2 linked regions of the Coturnix japonica genome follow. The protein of the gene in region 2 interacts with the protein of the main gene of each other region in a biochemical or structural test. Links are inferred from orthologs where the notes say so. Each region holds a gene or a part of one and is shown on either strand. Other genes may lie near its edges.

Evidence for each region.
Region 1: the proteins of SHQ1 (region 2) and DKC1 are reported together in a solved structure, tested with the Homo sapiens proteins (2 studies listed by BioGRID, with this or other methods). The link is inferred for Coturnix japonica from reciprocal best matches to the Homo sapiens genes SHQ1 and DKC1.

The regions. Positions count from the first base shown.
Region 1 is NC_029519.1:2,064,838-2,073,649, reverse strand, and holds the start of DKC1 (H/ACA ribonucleoprotein complex subunit DKC1), read right to left. Parts: upstream 5,808-8,812; 5' UTR 5,698-5,807; coding exon 5,682-5,697; intron 5,548-5,681; coding exon 5,486-5,547; intron 5,294-5,485; coding exon 5,207-5,293; intron 4,962-5,206; coding exon 4,870-4,961; intron 4,618-4,869; coding exon 4,433-4,617; intron 3,983-4,432; coding exon 3,918-3,982; intron 3,810-3,917; exon of another isoform or gene 3,569-3,809; intron 3,345-3,568; coding exon 3,218-3,344; intron 3,040-3,217; exon of another isoform or gene 2,964-3,039; intron 2,887-2,963; coding exon 2,756-2,886; intron 2,591-2,755; exon of another isoform or gene 2,457-2,590; intron 2,056-2,456; coding exon 1,912-2,055; intron 1,650-1,911; coding exon 1,529-1,649; intron 1,344-1,528; exon of another isoform or gene 1,098-1,343; intron 819-1,097; coding exon 700-818; intron 623-699; exon of another isoform or gene 547-622; intron 167-546; coding exon 63-166; intron 1-62. Other genes in the region: 40-kDa huntingtin-associated protein-like, read right to left, coding at 6,105-7,166; probable G-protein coupled receptor 34, read left to right, coding at 8,618-8,812.
Region 2 is NC_029527.1:13,898,599-13,907,066, forward strand, and holds the start of SHQ1 (protein SHQ1 homolog), read right to left. Parts: upstream 4,710-8,468; 5' UTR 4,693-4,709; coding exon 4,660-4,692; intron 4,630-4,659; exon of another isoform or gene 4,433-4,629; intron 4,045-4,432; coding exon 3,860-4,044; intron 2,942-3,859; coding exon 2,877-2,941; intron 2,095-2,876; coding exon 1,972-2,094; intron 809-1,971; coding exon 657-808; intron 1-656. Other genes in the region: GXYLT2 (glucoside xylosyltransferase 2), read left to right, coding at 5,709-5,929. UniProt on the Homo sapiens protein: Required for the quantitative accumulation of H/ACA ribonucleoproteins (RNPs), including telomerase, probably through the stabilization of DKC1, from the time of its synthesis until its association with NOP10, NHP2, and NAF1 at the nascent H/ACA RNA.

The sequences.
Region 1 (8,812 bases), on a different chromosome or scaffold from region 2:
TGCTCACTGCATGCAGCCCATCACTGCACCCACCACTCTGAAGCTGCATACCCTGTACCCACCTGTAATCCACGTATTCCTTCTTCCAGGAATCTGGTGTGCACTCGTTGGGCTTCCCGTGTTTGTCCAGCAGGCCCTTCTGGATCATCATCTTCTTTTGACTGGCCTGAGAGCAAAGGACAGAAGGTCAGACCACAGCTTCATGAAGAAGAAGCCATCCCTTGGGCTTCGGCCACCCACCCTAAGGAATAACCCAGGACAAAGCCAAGGCAACAACTGCACTGCCACTGGCTTAACCATTCTGAGAACCTTCTGACAGCTCACAGGAAACACCCACTGCCCTGCAGCCTACAAGTCTCAGACAAGGAACAGGCAGGGGGTACCCCACCTGTAATCAATGGCTATTTGTATGAGAACAGCAGCAGACAGCTACGTATCACTGAACTCTTGAACTCACTGATCCTTGGCCATCATTTTTCCTCCACCTTAATGACCAACCACATTTCAGCTGAAGCACTGCAACTGCACAGCTCCCTGACCCTCCAGAGCCATCAGCATGGGGTGATAGATGAAGGTCATCTTTGCACAGGGTGCTAATGCCAACCAGTTGACATCATTTGGCTCTTGAGCACAGACCTGAAGTGCCTGCAGCCCCATAACTGGGCACCCACCAACACCACTGAGTTCCCAGCTGCTCACCTTGGGACCGAGGCCCCATTTGCGGGGATATGTGTCTCTCTCCATGATTACTCTCTTGATCTTTGCTACCACGCCATGGTCGCAGGTAGAAATGACAGCAGTAGTCATCAAGGCAATGGCTGCAGAAACAAGCAGGGAGCTTACCAACACATCACAACAGCAAAACTGTGAGAGTACAGATGCAAGAGTATGCTGGGTTCAGGCTGCTCCTCCTCTGGCAGCACAAAGGAAAGACAAAACGCCATATCCCCCTGAAAACCTCACTGGAGGAAAGCTTTGCACTCAAGCTTCAGAAAGATGCCGATCTCAAAGGCTGAGCTGATATGACCACATCAGTCTGAAAACACTCCCACAGCTGCCAGTGAGGCACAGCTGGGATTTCTATCAGGTGGCAGCATGTAATCAGATGTCATCCCTCGTCTCAGTGAGGACAGAGCCCCCCGGAGAGGGGCCCTGACCCTGCCTGCACCGCTTTGCTCCTGCAGGCAGCCAGCCACACACCACAGCAGCCCCCAGCAGGACGCTGGGACACTGCAGGGTCTCTGGAGGTTGCACGGCACCCAGACCCTAGAACAGGAATCGGGTGCTGCAGGAGGGCAGTGCCAGCGCACTCAGAGAATGGATAAACTTCTTCATCACCTCACACACAGCACACCTGAGTTCTATGCAACTGAAACACTGAGGAACACCTCGTACTTTGCTGTATAATAGCTTTTAGGGAAGCACTACTTCAACCTCCCCATGCACTGGGTCTCTTCTAATATAACTTCACCAGAAAGTAGTTTGTTATTTCTGCATAGGTGGGCACAGGAATAAGCCAGCTTCATACCTAGGCAGATAGCTTCTCCTTTGGTGGTGATGACTACGATCTCTTGATTAAGCTCAATACCATCTTCATACCTCAGGACACCAGGCAACATGATCTTGGCTCCATAGCAAATGGCATTAACCTAAAGAGGAAGGGAACAGCAAGGCCTGTAAGCAACTGGAGGACAAAATGAGTGCAAGAAGTACCTCTAATTTTGCCTTCCCATTCTCATTACTGTTATTAACAATAACACTAACATGTTTCTAGCTGACTACCAATACCAGGTCCTACACAGCACATGACATGACAGTGCTGTGCACCACGAGGACCCTGATCCCTCATTTATGAGCTGCATAAGACAGGACACAACCACTGCATCGAGCAGCCCTAACTCAGGAACTCACCGCACTGTCTTTCATGACGAGCCTCTTGTGTGAGGTGAGCAGCTTCTCCAGGGGCAGGATGACACGCCGCAGGTAGCTGTCATCCTTGTTGTTGTCATACTGCCACTGTGCATCCAGCACGTCATGCATGGTCACCATGTTGTCCTGCAAAGATACAGCCCCTATGAACTCAGAGCAGCCACCAGCTCGAAACACGCACAAGACACAGCTGAAGCCTAATGGCAGATAGCGTGCTGGAAGGGGGAGAAAATTGGTGCCCAATTCAGAAACATCTATAAAATCTCCATAGAAAAGGCAAGAACAAGCATGTCCTGCTGGCAGCTCGAGGGCAGTCTCATCTCTGCTGCTTCAGGCTTCTACCTGCCCAACATCACACTGCACTGGGATCAAGTGTGCAAACTCTGTCTATGTAAAACACTTTTCAAGTGGGACCAAGCTTAAATGCGCCCTTTGCTAAGGCACACTATTCCCTGCACTGCACCCTGACAACAAGTGATCACACTGCTGAGCAAGCAGCTCGTGTGCCCAAACTCCAGACACGTGTAGGTTGTAGGCTGAGAAACACAGGTGGCATAAGACAAACTTTCAGTCACCAGGGTGCACTTCCCAGTCATTTCTGTCCCAAAGTTTAATTACCAGAACAGGGACAAGACCCTGAACTGAACTCAACACTTTGGTTCTAGGTTGCCTATGGCAAGTGCCACGACTGCCAGGTGTATTCACAGCACTTCCCAGTCACTGTGCACCTACACCCATCCCCAGCACCAAAGAAGAAAGACCATTTTGGGGAACTCCTGCAACCTCCCAGTTTCTAGTTACACTCCCAATCAAATCACCCCCCTACCATCTCTCCCAGGATGCCCGACCGCACTCTCCGGAGCTCCTGCATTTGGCCCCCAACACCGAGCAGCAAACCAAGGTGGACACAAAGTGTTCGGATGTACGTTCCTGCTTCACAGCTCACCCAGAAGATACCTGAAACACAAGAGAGAATTGATATGTACAGCTACCAATGAGCCACATCTAGAGGCTCCACATCCAGCCCCTCACAGAGCCATCAGCATGGGGTGATAGATGAAGGTCATCTTTGCACTGAGTGCTAATGCCATCTAGCTGACATCATTTGGCTCTTCAGTGAAGGGTGCAAAACTAACAAAGCAGGTGAGATTTGTTTCTCAGTGTAAATAACGCACAAAGCATTTACTGCTCGGTGGGTGCAAGGATCTGTATCTCAGCACACCTGCAAAGAATGGGAAACAGCACACGAACTGGGAGAGTAACCAAAGGCAGGAAAGGTGTATTTTACCCAGTCTTCTCTCAGGATCGTACTCCACCAGCTTGCTCTCATAGATGGTCCGGACTCTCAGCTGTCGCTTAACAGCAGCGATGAGGGGCGGTCGCTGGAAGAGTGCTCCTGTCAGGGTTTCTATGGCCTGAAGGTAGAAGCAAATGAAATAACACCTTAAGCTGGGCCATTAGTACAGCTGACACCTGAGCACCTCAGGGTCTCCAGGAATTGAAGACCTCTGTGAGTGACAGGCTCATCACCACGTGGTTATCTCGTATTTAAGAAAGCTGGTGTGAACCACTGATGTGGTCAAAACGCTCCCACAGCTGCCAGTGAGGCACAGTTGGGATTTCCATCAGGTGGCAGCATGCAATCAGATGTCATCCCTCGTCTCAGTGAGGACAGAGCCCCCAGAGGCGGCCCTGACCCTGCCTGCACCGCTTTGCTCCTGCAGGCAGCCAGCCACACACCACAGCAGCCCCAGCGGACGTGGGACACTGCAGGGTCTCCTGGAGCTGCACGGCACCCAGACCCTAGAACAGGAATCGGGTGCTGCAGGAGGGCAGTGCCAGCGCACTCAGAGAATGGATAAACTTCATCATCACCTCACACACAGCACACCTGAGCTCTGCTCCTACCCGCTCATCTCCCACAGAAGCTGAACTCTTTGCACAGAGTACCAGTGTGGCCAACAGTCCAACAGTGTGCTGAGACTTACCCTGGCAAGCTGAGCCTCACTTTCAATTGCATTGTGCAGCCGAACAATTCCCACATACTCTTTGCCTGAAAGAACGACAAGAGCAGTCAGGAGCGGCCACTTGCATTTAATGTTGACCTCAAGTCATGCACTGCCATACAAACAGCTCTCCTAGGAGGTGCACACCACTCAGACATTATTCTCCCCCCAAACCAATCTTAGCTGCATGTTTATTTCTTCGCTGTGTTTTATTCTTTGGGATTTACACACTTGTGCCTCAAGTTGAGTTTGCACGTAAAACCTGTCTTTCAGACCTGTTTTCACTGACCTAAAAGAGCACAAGCCCCAGAGAAGCAATCAGAAAAACCACCTGAGACAGCACGGATGTGCCCTCGATGGCTGGAAGCAAGATGGATAAGCAATCCTTGAGCTCAAGGCACTGAAGGCTTAGGGCAAGAATGAATATCTCCTTGCCTCCACAAGAGCTCTGCATCTCCTCAACCACTTTGACCACAGTCTGGTGGCAATGAACCTACCTGCACTCTGCTGAGACTTAACGAGTCGTGTCGCTCTCTCAATGCACACAATGAGGCATCCGGTCACTTTAGGGTCCAGGGTGCCACTGTGCCCTGTCTTCTCTACTCTAAGGATGCGCCGGATCCACGCCACCACCTCATGGGAGGATGGATTGGAAGGCTTGTCCAGATTGATGAAGCCAGACCTATAGTGTGAGATGACAGGTTAGGAGCTACACGTCGGGGCCAACAACAGCAATGTGAAAAACAGGATGAGGTTTGTCATGGTAACACAGAAACGTTTCTGAATAAACAGCTGGACAGGAGCTGAGCCACAGAGCTGCTCCACCAAGCACACGTGGAGCTGTGCTCACACATGCTGTGATTAAACACTGCTCTCCATTCTGCTACCATAGCTCAGCGTGTAGCATATGTAATCAGTGGGTTGTTCTGCTCACCGTATATAGTCAGAGATCTCCCTCTTCAAGGGATTAGCACCGGACGGGAGGGGTGTGTAGTGTGTCGTCAGCACGTTGAGCTTGTCAAAGTTCTACAAAAGCAAAGCAAAGAAGTTAAGTATCAGGAGATGGAGGTGAGCCTGAGGATAACAGCATAACACTGTGCAGTGCTGCTGGTTGCACAGGGGGGGCTTTGCATTCAGGTTTATGAGGCAAAACGACTGTAACAGCACAGCCGTGGGGCAGGAAAAGGAGCAGCACAAATAAACCCCATCACGGAGCAGGAACACGAACCACATCCAAAGGCGGGGAGCCACCGCCCGGCTGTGCTCGGTACCTTCAGCAGCAGCGGCCATTGGGACGTGTCCAGCTGCGCCACGCGGGACTCGGGCTTGATGAGGAACTCCTCGGTGTGCTGGATGTCCTGCGGGGCACAACGGGGCGTCAGGGGGCACAACGGGGGGATACAACGGGGGGATACAGCGAAGGGTCGGAGGCACCACGCGGTAGCGCTCACCACCGCCCTCCCCCGCTCCCGCCGTGGGACACGTGGATCCCACGGTGGATCCGTCCCACGGTGGATCCGTCCCACGGTGGCTCCCCCCGCCGCCCTCACCGCCACATCCTCGTCGGGCAGCGATCGCTTGTCCTTCTTCCGCCGCTTCTTCACGGCAGAACCTACGGGAGAGGCACACTCAGCGGCCCGCGGGACCGACGAGGCGCCATCCGGCCCGGCCCGGCCCGGCCCCCCCCGTCCCGCAGGACACGGCGGGCTCCTCCCGCCCCGCGCCCCGCCCCGTCCCGCCGCTCACCGTCCCCGTCCGCCATGACCGCACCGCGTGCTGCCGCCGCGCCGAGAGCGGAAAGACCACCCCTTCCCGACAGCCCCCGCGGCGCCACGTGACGCCGGGTGGGCGGGGCCTCGCGCTCCCGCCGTGCGTGACCACGCCCACTCACTGGCCCCGCCCACCGCCCCAGCAACCAATCGCTGCAGCCAGAGAGCGCCCGCTCCGCAGCTTTATTGCAGGCCCCGAGCCGGGCCGTAACATGGTGTTACATGGCACTACACGGTGTTACACGGTACTACATGGTAATACACGGTGTTACACGGTGATACACGGTGTTACACGCCCCGCCGGCGGGGCTCAATCGACCCGAGCCCGTCCCGCCGGCAGCCCCCGAGCAGGACAGTTCCGTATCAGTCCTGGATGCTCCGGGCACGGCGGTGCTGGCGCTCACAGCCCGTTCCCCGCGGGGCTGAGCAGGTCGTGCAGCACGAGGTGCAGCAGGTGGTTCTGCTCGGCGCTCAGCAGCGGCCACAGCTCCGCCTGCAGCGCCCGCAGCGCGGCCGCGTCCTTCTCCTGGCAGGCCAGCACTGCGGACTGCAGCAGCAGGAACAGCCGTGCGGGCAGGTAACCGGCAGCCGCCGGCAGCCCCCCGCCCGCCGCGCCGCCCTCGGGCGGCTCCCAGCAGTACTGCTCCAGCGTGCGGGCGTGCTCGGGCGGCAGCTTGCCGGGCGGCGGCTGCAGGAGCAGCAGCAGCAGCACCCGCGACACCTCGCAGCTCACCAGCGCGTCCAGGAAGGCTCCTCCGGGCGCGGCCCCGCCGCCGCCGCCCCCGGTCCCGATCCCGGCTCCGGCTCCGGCCAACGCCTGCGCCCGGGTGAGCGCGGCCAGAGCCCCGGCGTAGTCGCGGCCCAGCAGCAGGCAGGAGGCGCGCTCCGTCAGGCAGCGCAGCGCCTCCAGGGGCAGCTTAGCGGCCGTCAGCAGCTCGGCCGCCCTCTGCAGGTGCGCGGCGGCGCGGGCGGGCCGGCCCGTGTCTCGCAGCGCCGCCGCCATCTCCAGGCAGAGCCCGGCCGCCAGCGCCGGCTGCCCCCGCTCCAGGTGCAGGCGGGCGGCGAACGCCCCGCAGCTCTGCGCCGCCGCCAGGTGCTCGCCGAACCCCCCGCGCAGAGCCAGGCGCTGCCGCAGGTCCCGCTCCTGGCGCAGGAACAGCCGCGCCGCTTCGCACAGCGCCGCCGCCTCGGCCGGGCCGTGGAACAGGCTCTGCGCGCAGCGCGCCACCGCCAGCTGGCACCACGCCGCGTACGGCAGGCTCTCCTGAGCGCGCAGCTCCCGCGCCAGCGCCGCGAACTGCTCCGCCGCCTCCGCCACGTTCGGCTTCCGCAGGAACCGCCGCCGCAGTTTGGCCGACACCAGCCGGTACCGCGACAGGAAGTCCCCGTCCCCGCCGCCGGGACCCGGCCCGGTTCCGGAGCCGCCCGAACCGCCGGGCCCCGAACCGCCCGCCGCCAGCATCACGCGTCGCACGGAAGTGACGCGATCGCGCCGCGTCCCGCCGGAGCCTCATGGCGCCGACCAATCAGCGCCCACTGCCGGGGCATGGGGGGCGGGGCGGGGCGCCCGTGGGGGCGTGGTCTCGCGGAGCCACGCCCATTGGGGGGGGCGGGGCCACGTGGCTGCTGAGCTGCACTGCGAGGCGCGTAATGTCAGTATCGCCCTGCAGCACCGAGCTCACCTCGGGAACCACCTCCAGCAGGGGAAAAACACAGCAACACACGTGGGAGGGGAGGTGGAGCGGGGTGAGACTTGTCACGGGTGGGAGGTGTCAGCAGCCAAGGGCTTATAGGGGCTGTGGGGAACACGGAGCTCTGTCACAGCTGGTGCAGGAGCTGAGCAGTGCCGGGTGAGGTGGGTGCCTCTGGGTCGGGCTGCAGCTGGTGGGGGCCGTGATCAGAGCTGGGAGGGGGAGCGTGAGTTGTGCTGTGACAACAGCTGTGGGTGGCTGCCACACTAATGTGCCTGTAGGCACACACAGTGCGTGCTGCAGGGCTACCTGTGTGTGCAAACCGTGCTGTCTGTGTGCTCAGCTGTGCTGCCCCTTGCAAACTATATGCAGAGCACTGTGATGGGTGTACAGGCAGAGCACGCTGCTCTGAAACCATCAGGGGCTTGGTGGCAACACTGCTGTGCTTTGAGCTGTGAGCGGTGAATGTGGGGAGCTCAGTCCCCTGCTTATATATGACTGTGAGTTACAAGCAGCGAGCTCATGGAGCTCTGCAGCCTCCATCCAGGTGTGCTGCCCTGCCCTGCTGTCCTGGTATGCTGGGCAGGTGTGGAGGGAGCAAAGAAAGGCGGTAGAGAAGTTATGGTATGTGGGAGGGAAGTCGGAGAGTTCTGCAGCTCTCCATCACTCAGCATCACGGAAAGTGGAAAGGGGAGGGAGGCAGTGGGGCATGCAGGAGCTCACAGGCTCACAAAGGGCTCTGTAGGCAGTGGGGCAGGTGCTGGCAGAGGATGTGTCAGTGCCCAGCGTTGGGTCCCTGGGTTGCACATGGCCTGGATTAATGTTTGCTGTACCTGTTTTGTCTCTCATGTGAAATCAGAGCTGGAGTTGGGCTGACCCCCCTCCAGACACTGTTAAGCAGCTCACCCCGCATACTTCCACGGTCTCATCTGCCCCTTCCTGACCTCCTTCATGGCACAGAGCTGGGAGAAGCTGGGACAGGCAGAAGTGGGCTTTGCTTCCCTACCAGTGTTTAATGGGCACATCCTCAGCAGACATTTCCCTACAGAGAGCAGGCAGAGCCTGTTCCTTGCCCAGAGCCATTTTCCCATTGCATCTGGGGCACTGGGTACCACAGGTGGCTGTACTCCGTGTGTATCCCAATGCCCACATGCTTCCAGCTCACCCCAATACCCTGTTACAGCTCTCCCTGCATATTGCATTCCAGGTCTGCACGCTCACGATGGACCCCCTGAGCACCCCCCCTCCTACCATTGAAGTCACTGAGCAGCTCCTGGGTAACTCCTGTCAGATCCACGATGGGTTCCTCTCAGTGACGCTGCCTGTGATGTACTCCCTGATCTTTGCCATTGGGCTGCTCAGCAATGTGCTGGCACTCTGGGTGTTTTCACACAGCATGCAGCGCCAGACCTCCATC
Region 2 (8,468 bases):
TATTGTTTAGCAAAAACAGAACCACAAAGAGATAGAAATCAAATACTGTTCTTCTGCCTTGAGATTACTCCTCCACTCTGAAGTGGCCATACATTAATCAACAGGCAATTGCAGTGCCCTCTCAAACATCAGTACCTGGAGGTACATTAATGCTGATGACAAATGGACTACTTCAGAAATTTCACAGTAATAAGCCAGTGCAAATATCCTAACAGAATACAAATGCTTTCTCCACAGACAGCAGTCATCTGCCCCAAAACCTTAAACGATTACAATTCATGCAGTGATTTACAAAGTTGTGCAATTTGCTTTGAAAGGCTACTGAAATCACTCAGAGAAAGAATTTAAGTAGAAAATTAAAGAAATATAATCCACTTCTTTTATTAAAGCTTTGTATGCTATGAAAATCATCCTACTTAGCATGTTACTGGTTGTAGATTAGCTTCTGCCTGTTTAACTGCTGAACAGACAGGAGCAAAGTAAAGACACTTCGAAGCTCCTGTTCTACCAACTAATCCACAGGAGAAACACAGCTAGAATTCAGCAATGGAGAATTGTTACCTAACAATCTTCTCCTGGCTACAGAATGAACCAGGAACCCCACCCAAGGAGAAAGGTACTTGGAATCTTTATGACAGGAAAAAGAATTAATTTACCTGCAGCCTCTGAAATACCCCTGACCGCAGATTCCCAAACCCATAGTAGCACTGAAGTGGCAAAGGACTTTCTGCAGCTTCCTTATAAAGGGTCTGCTCTATTTCCCAGTCAAATTCTTCCTCTTCCTCCTCCTCCAACTCTGCAGGGACACCTGGGTATATGCATGATCAGAGAAAGAAAACTTTATGCATATGATTTGAAGAAAGGCAAACAAAATAAGCACTTTTTATTTATTTAAGAAATCTTCTGCAGTGCTGGGCTAACTATAATTTAAAGAAACAGAAGGGGAAAAGGTAAACATGTGAACTACGCAATTTCACATCCCACTTTATGGGACTGACACTGAGAATATCCTGAGAATTTTCCTAAACCAGATAGTCTGAATGCAAATCAGCCATAACAGACTTTCCAACTATAGATGTTCAGAATCGTTGGACCTTCGCTGCATCCCTCTGCAAAGGGCAGCCTCCTAACAAAATGCACCCATACACTCTTACCACCCGTAACACGCAAAATACCACTTGCTTTAACACACAAGCCCAATTTTCCAATTCTATCCTAACCCTGAAGGGTGGCACACACCTATATGTTCACATTGGACTAGACTGCCTCTATCACAAACAAGTTCAGTGAACTACAGAAAAAGTCATAGGTTATTCAAGTGTTTGAGAAGGCAGATGCACACAGCAATGAGCAACAGGTCCTGCTCTAGTATTAAAAAAATTGCAAGAATAGAGACAAGGAAAACTAAAGCTTTGAGCACACACGGTCAGAGTCTAAAGCAATTGTTCCACTGATTTCAACAAGCTCAGGATTTTATTCTAAGGGGACCACAAGAGGAACATAACAAAGTTATCCACAATTTAAGACAGATGCCCACAAAATTAATCATAGACAGTCACATTTTCTGAAAAATATGTTAAGCAAGTCATCCACTAGAACAAGTGGTTTTAATTAGCTTCTGCCCTTAGAGCCAAAGGACCAGTTGTGCTACATCATGGAAGGCTCACATGTGTGTTTATTATACAGCCACTAGAGGGGTACAAAGATCTGCAGAGGATTAGCACACATTAAACACATTTTGTAAAAGATGATATCATAACTAACCTACAGACAGCCCATAGATAGCACATGTATTAACTACTACAAGACATTCCTTTCAGTAACCCACAAAATTCCAGAGTCATTCAAACTTTGCTTCTACCTTGGCCTAAACAATATCAGAAACACTTTTTATTAAATATATTACTATGGAGATCTATAACTATTTCATTTTGTACCTAAATTGATAACTTAGTTAAGTTCTTGTCATACCTATCTCCTCCACTAAAGGTTTTGCTGTCCTTGATTTCTTCGGTGCTAAGAGAGATGTCAGCATGTCCAGACCTTCAAAATACTGTCCAGGACTCTCCTTAGGTAACTGAATTGTAAAAGTCCCTTATAATAAAGGCAGAATATAGTTACCACATTGAAATAATCATGGCAAACAAAAATGCTCATTTTCCCCTCTACTGTAAAAGGCTTATGAAGCTGAGGTACATGCAGGTAGCAATCTACTACGCACTGATATATAAACATGTTTTTAAACTTCCATAACAAATTACACAAAAATCAAAGATGTTAAAGCATAAAAGACAGCATTTAACAAACTGTGGTCACCTACACACCAACAGAAAAACTTCAATTAATTGTCATCAACGGATGGCTACAAGAAGCTATTCAACCCTCTGATTATCGTTTCAAGCACAAAACAAAGCCTTCATAAGCCTTTCTGTTTATGAGTATGCTTATTTCAAAAGGTACTTTATTCCAGAAACACCTTCCACCTTTAAAGTGTCCTCTCTTATGACTTAGTCAAGAGAACGTCTCGGGATCATCTCATTTCTGCTTAGTACCACTCTTCTTCACAGATTTGCAAGACTCTGAAGAAGTCACATATTTGAACAATGGTGTGTCTGCCTCCAACAGGGCTTGACACATTTCATTCTTGTATTTTAAGACAGTTGCAGACAAGTCATTTAAACTTAACGACAGACTGCACACAACAAATCCTCAGCAAGTTTTCTTTTTTTAAAACCACGTAACACAAGAGAAGTTACATTTATTTACAGGATTTATTTATTCACACTTTGATAAAGTTCCACGCATTTCCACTGCAAGATAAACTAGTGAAGAGTCAGTATTCTTCATGACAACTACAATAAAATATTAAACAATACCTTTGTCTGTGTCATAAGATGCTTTTTCTCTGCCATTTTCCACAACTCTTCCAGGAAGTGTCAGTCTGGATGGAAATAAAGAGATGTCTCATTGAATGCCTGACTAATTCTGCAACTTCACATCTCAGCACATAAAAATGTAAGGCACATTCCAAGGGCAGTACAAACAACTTAACAACGTGATTCTGTTGGTAATAATGGAAGTCATGAACTAAAATCTCTCTGCAGCTTTAAGTTAATGACAAAGTCACAGCTAGCGCAGACACAACACCCTTAGTACTAACTTCAGCAATTGAGAGATGCTGTAATTTAAAAACCTTTAAGCTAATCCACTGTGACAGGACATGAGGCAGCCAACTCAGTGCTTTCCACCAACCTAATGAAATCCTTTATGGTCTACTAACATATATATATGGCATATATACACATATAGGATAAGTACATCCAACAAAACAGGAAGTAGAAAATAAAAAGGGTTCATGGCTCATCAGCCCTTACACGTCAAAGATTCTCTCAACATTTCCACAATGAGATTGCTGATTGTTTCTTTCCCATAGCATTGCAAGGCACTTGCTAAAAAACGAAGCCTGGAACCTCACTCCCTGACACCTGCACCACATGGATTTAATCAGGCAGGCATCAAAATTCTTTCCACACAAAATATATCATACCTGACTCTCAGTGGGGAAATGACACACTCTATAAGACCTAGGTGCATTCAAAGAATTAAGCTGTCAGTTTACTATTAAAAATCAATGCTAATATAAAAGTAGAAGTTCCTTAAGCTCTTTTTAAGGTGGCAACACCTGGAATCAAATGTACCAGATCCATAAATACAGTTCCATGCTGAAAACGGGCTGTGTGCAGCCTACAGTGTGAGAGTTACAGACCAGGAAGGTTCAGAAGGACCCAAAATGAAGGTCATTTTCTACCAACGTTTATCTCATTAAGTCCAACCTTTTTAAAACGCTTTCACCGCTTACCTGAGAAAGTAAGGCTTGGCATAGAATTTGAAGTCTTCCCCTTCAAAGAACAGGTCAAGCTCTGACACTTTGGCATAAGGCACCCGGATGGTTATTATAAGAAAATCGAGATCCTGGCTCAGCTCAAAGTCTGGAGTTATCATGATGAATCCAGCACAGGAGAAGCTCCCACCAGTGCTACGGCCCTATTAAATGGGGAAAGAGATATAAATTATTGCAGCTGCCATTTTACAGCAGCAGAAAGCGTGTCCTGAAGACTCTTTAAGGCCATTTGTGATTCTCACATAGCCAAGAAAACACAACAACAGCACATAATAATAATAATATTAATAATAATAATAATGATGATGATGATAAAAGCATTTCCACTCGTGGCCTGAAGGTCCATCTTGCTGCACTTGCTGCAACACAGCTTTATGTACATAAACAGAAGCACGCAGAGCACAGGGCACTAGTTGCACTCATTAAGGGGAAAACGCATCCAGTCCTAGAATTCATCAACTCTGCAAACTGTTTCCAACCTCCCACTGATGTGAGCGCACACGGACACCGAACATAAGGACAAACACGAACCCACACACCGAGCACTGCTGCACCTCGTACCGCACACCGACCCGCTCCACGAGGGCCGCAGTTCCTGTGCACGCGAGTGGGACCCACTAACCGACCCACCACCTCCCCCCTGTGGACAAACGCGGATGCTGAGCCTCAGAAACGAGCCGTGTCCTGCCTGCAGCTCCGCACCGTCCAACACAGCAGCACAACACACAGCACCCACCCCACTCGCCGCCCGCCCTCACCGCGCCCGTGGAGCCGGGGCAGGCGGTGCGCATGCACGGGAACGGCCCCGCCCCGAGGGCCGCCCGCCCGCAGAGAACGGCGGGAGCGGACACAACCCTGACACATGGCAGCGTGCCCCGCAGTGCCGCTGTGTGCAGCCGGAGCTGCGGCATGTGCTGCGCTGCGCTGCGCTGTGCTGTGCTGTGCAGTGCTGTGCAGTGCTGTGCTGTGCTGCGCTGCGCTGTGCTGTGCTGTGCTGTGCTGTGCAGTGCTGTGCAGTGCTGTGCAGTGCTGTGCAGTGCTGTGCTGTGCTGTGCTGTGCTGTGCTGTGCTGTGCTGTGCTGTGCTGTGCTGTGCTGGGCATTGCGGCCCGCAGACATTCCCTGTGATGCCGGGGGGCTGTGAGCGCCCAGCAGAGCCGCGGGTGTCCTTGTACCCGCGGGGCAGTTGGGCTGGATGAGCTTTAAAAGCCCGTTCCGACCCAAACGATTCTGTGGTCGGACGCTGAACATCAGCTACGAAGGGAGGAGAAAGGAGATGACGATGTAGACACAAGTCCCAGCGTTAAAACGTTCTTATTCCTGCACTGTTCTGCGGCTGGTCCCGTTACAGCCCGGCAGTTACAGTAGTGTGATGTGCTGCACGATGTGCTGCACGATGCCCGCAGCAGCAGCAGGTGAACAGCCCGCATCCCCTGTCCCCTCCCGCTCCTCACCTTTCCATCCACACGCACTGAGCCCCCACACGAGCAGAGTCCTGTGTGAACGTGGAAATCGGAGGTAGCTGTAAGTACCGCAGCGAAGCCCAGCCTCCTCCTGCCGGGAAACGCGACGACTGTCACTAATTCACCGGCACGGTGCTCCGCACGAAGCGTCCTTCCTCCCGTTCCTCCGTCCCGAGCGCTGTTTGGGGGCGGCTACTCCAGACAGTACGGTAGGGCGCGCCCCGCCCCTGCTGCCGGGCGCCGGCCGGGGCTCGGCGGCCACGTCCCCGCTCCGGGCCGCGGCCGATGGTGACGGCGATGGCGGCGGGCGCGCAGAGGGGCGGGCGGTCGCGCTGAGCCGTCGCCATGCGGCTGTCGTGCAAGGTGGCGGCGGCGCTGCTGGCGCTGGGCAGTTTGCTGCTGCTCTACCTGCTGGCCGGCAGCGCCGCCGCGCCCCCTCGCCCGCCGCCCGCTCCCTCCGCGGCCGCCCGCCCCGCCGCCGCCGCTCCCCTCGGCCGCCGGCAGCCGAGGCTCAGCCGGAGCCCGACGCGGAGGAGCGCGCCCGGGGGCGGACTCGCCGCTGCCAGGTAACGGCGGGGATCGGGAGCCACACGCGATCGCCCCGTTGGGAAACGGCACCCGATAGGAACGGCACCCGCTGGGAGCGCCGCCCGCTGCTCGGGCTGCCCTGCCCCGGGAACTCGCTCCCCTCGGCGGCCCTCCGGGCGCTCTTATCCTTAGCCAAGTTTCCCTGCGGTGGAAACCTGCCCCGATCTCTGCTTTAGGCTGCAGGCTTATGTGCGTTTAACTGAGCGCGCGTGTGCCGGAGGTGCCACGAAAGTGGAGGCTTTGCGCTCTGCGGGCGGGAGCGGCTCCGTGTGCCAGCGATCCTCCGAAGCTGCGGCTTGTCCCGGAGCTGTGGCCTTGTTTGAAGGCTGCCGTGCACGATGTGCTGCTGCTGCTGCCTCGGGAGCTGCTGTCAGCGCTGAGAGCGAGACCTGCTCCGATTTAATGCTGGGGGAGATGAAAGGTGCTGGCTCCTTTTGTGCTTTACCGCTGCTTTCCAAGCTGCTTGGCACCGTCAGATTTCGAACTATTCGTATTTTGTTTTAAACACTTTTTATGCGTAACCGTGGCAGAAAACAAGTTGGAGGTTGTGTGTTGTATTCCCCATCAGGGCCTTGTGGATGGATTATTTAAAAAACCCCAAAACAACAGTATTCTAATTACTTCAAGGAATGATGTGGGCAGTGTGCTTTCAGTGGTGGGAGGGCCGCTTTCCCTGTTGCATTCCAACTATATTATGGTCAGTGTGACCTCATATCTAATTAAGTTGGTATGTCTTTGTGTCTTTGATTCATGATTTCACAGAGATGTTCTGAATGAAAGGCCACTCCTGTTTCTCGAGCTCTTATCCCTTAACGTAGTGAAGCAGTGGGTTTGGTGCAAGCATTGTTACCCCGTTGAATGCAGGAGATGTTTACTGTGGCTGGGAATGCATCATGGGCAGAATTCAAATGCATGCATTAAAGCAGGATTATTTCCACCAGCAACTGTACCTCCTGAAGTCATTTTTCTTTAAGGCATATCTCTGCAATTATCATGGAAATCAAGAACTCTGAGGGAGGCGGCAGAAAGTATGATACTGCTGGAGAGGGTAAACAACGGCTCCATTTCAATGAGCTTCTCGCTGAGCATCTCCCTGTTCCAAAAGTTGTCCTTATCAGGCTGTTCTATTACTTCATGACTTTGCAAGTGCTTGTTACAAAGGCTGTAGACTTTTTGTTGCTGTTCTTTTGCAGCGTGGAAGAATCATAGCAACAAAGTGAAATGATGGATTTCAGCCTTTGCTTCCACTTTGGGTTGGTTTTTTTCCCCCCATGTTTGTTGGCAGCGTATGATCCTGTGCTGCTGGCACCAACCAGGGCTGCATTACTGACACATCCAGTCCTGATGCTTACCAAACAGTTCTGCACTTTGATAGGTAACACCAACATAAAATGTGGGGTCTTAAATAAATGATTTTTTGTGAATGATGTGAAGTGGTTGGAGGAGATGTCTGCATTCCTGGGAGAACAAAAGCCATCTGCTAACAGGTGCTGTGCTGGCACGGATCACACCAGCAACGGGATCTGCTTGTCTTAAGAAGTCTGATCCAAAATACATTGGAAGCAGCAGTGTTCTCAGAGGCTTGAATTTGGAATAGAGGAAACAGTGCTTTACATAGGTGCTAGCTTCAGGAGTGAGTGTTCCCGTTCCTTCAGGAGCATTTCCTCATACAGGTGCTTGTAGTAAAGCACATCAGATGTAACGTGCTGAATTGAGGTCACTGTTACCTGTTCATTCCTATGGAACAATGATTATTTTAGTTACTCCTTATGAGCCAAGGGAGATTTTTTAAATCCATGTGAGGGGTGGTGTGTGATCTGATTCCTTTGGGATGGGAGATCTGATCATGGAAGACCTTATAGTCTGCTGCTGGTTTGTTTGTGGACTGACTGAAGTTTGTGAACTTTCTAAGGTAACTTTACTGAAGTTATGTCCGTGCTAATGTGAAGAATCGTTTGGTTCTGTTTTCCCACGTTGATTGATACAGTGTTGCCAGAAGGATACAGGTTTGTGTCTGAACTGGGGCCAGATGGGATGTGCGCTGGGTTACGAGGTCCTGCTGCAGGCACTGGGATTCCCTAATGTTGCTTTGTGCAACATGAGAAGACATTCATTTTCAATCCTTAAGGCGTGCACGTTTCTTCTACTCTAGTCATACGTGTTCAGAGCTCTACTAGTTGTGCATCACCAACAGGCTGGTGCCTGGCAGCTGCTGGTGAACTCGTGTGCCCTGCCTTGGTTGTTAGATGACCTGGGCAAATCCAAAGGTAAGCATCACATTCTGGTCAGCTTGGAAAGCCAGTTTGATGGTGGTTTTACTGATGATTCCTTTTGGAAGAGGCAAGTCCTGTAGCTTCAACAGGGTTTTCTTCATATGAGGAGTACTCATATGTGCCAGATCAGTGTGTGTGAGGTATCGTAAAGCACAAAAGTTCTTTCACATTTGAAGGGCAGATGTGACCACACTTTCTTCCAGGAAACTAAACATGCCTAATAGAAACTTTGCCAAAGCCAAGT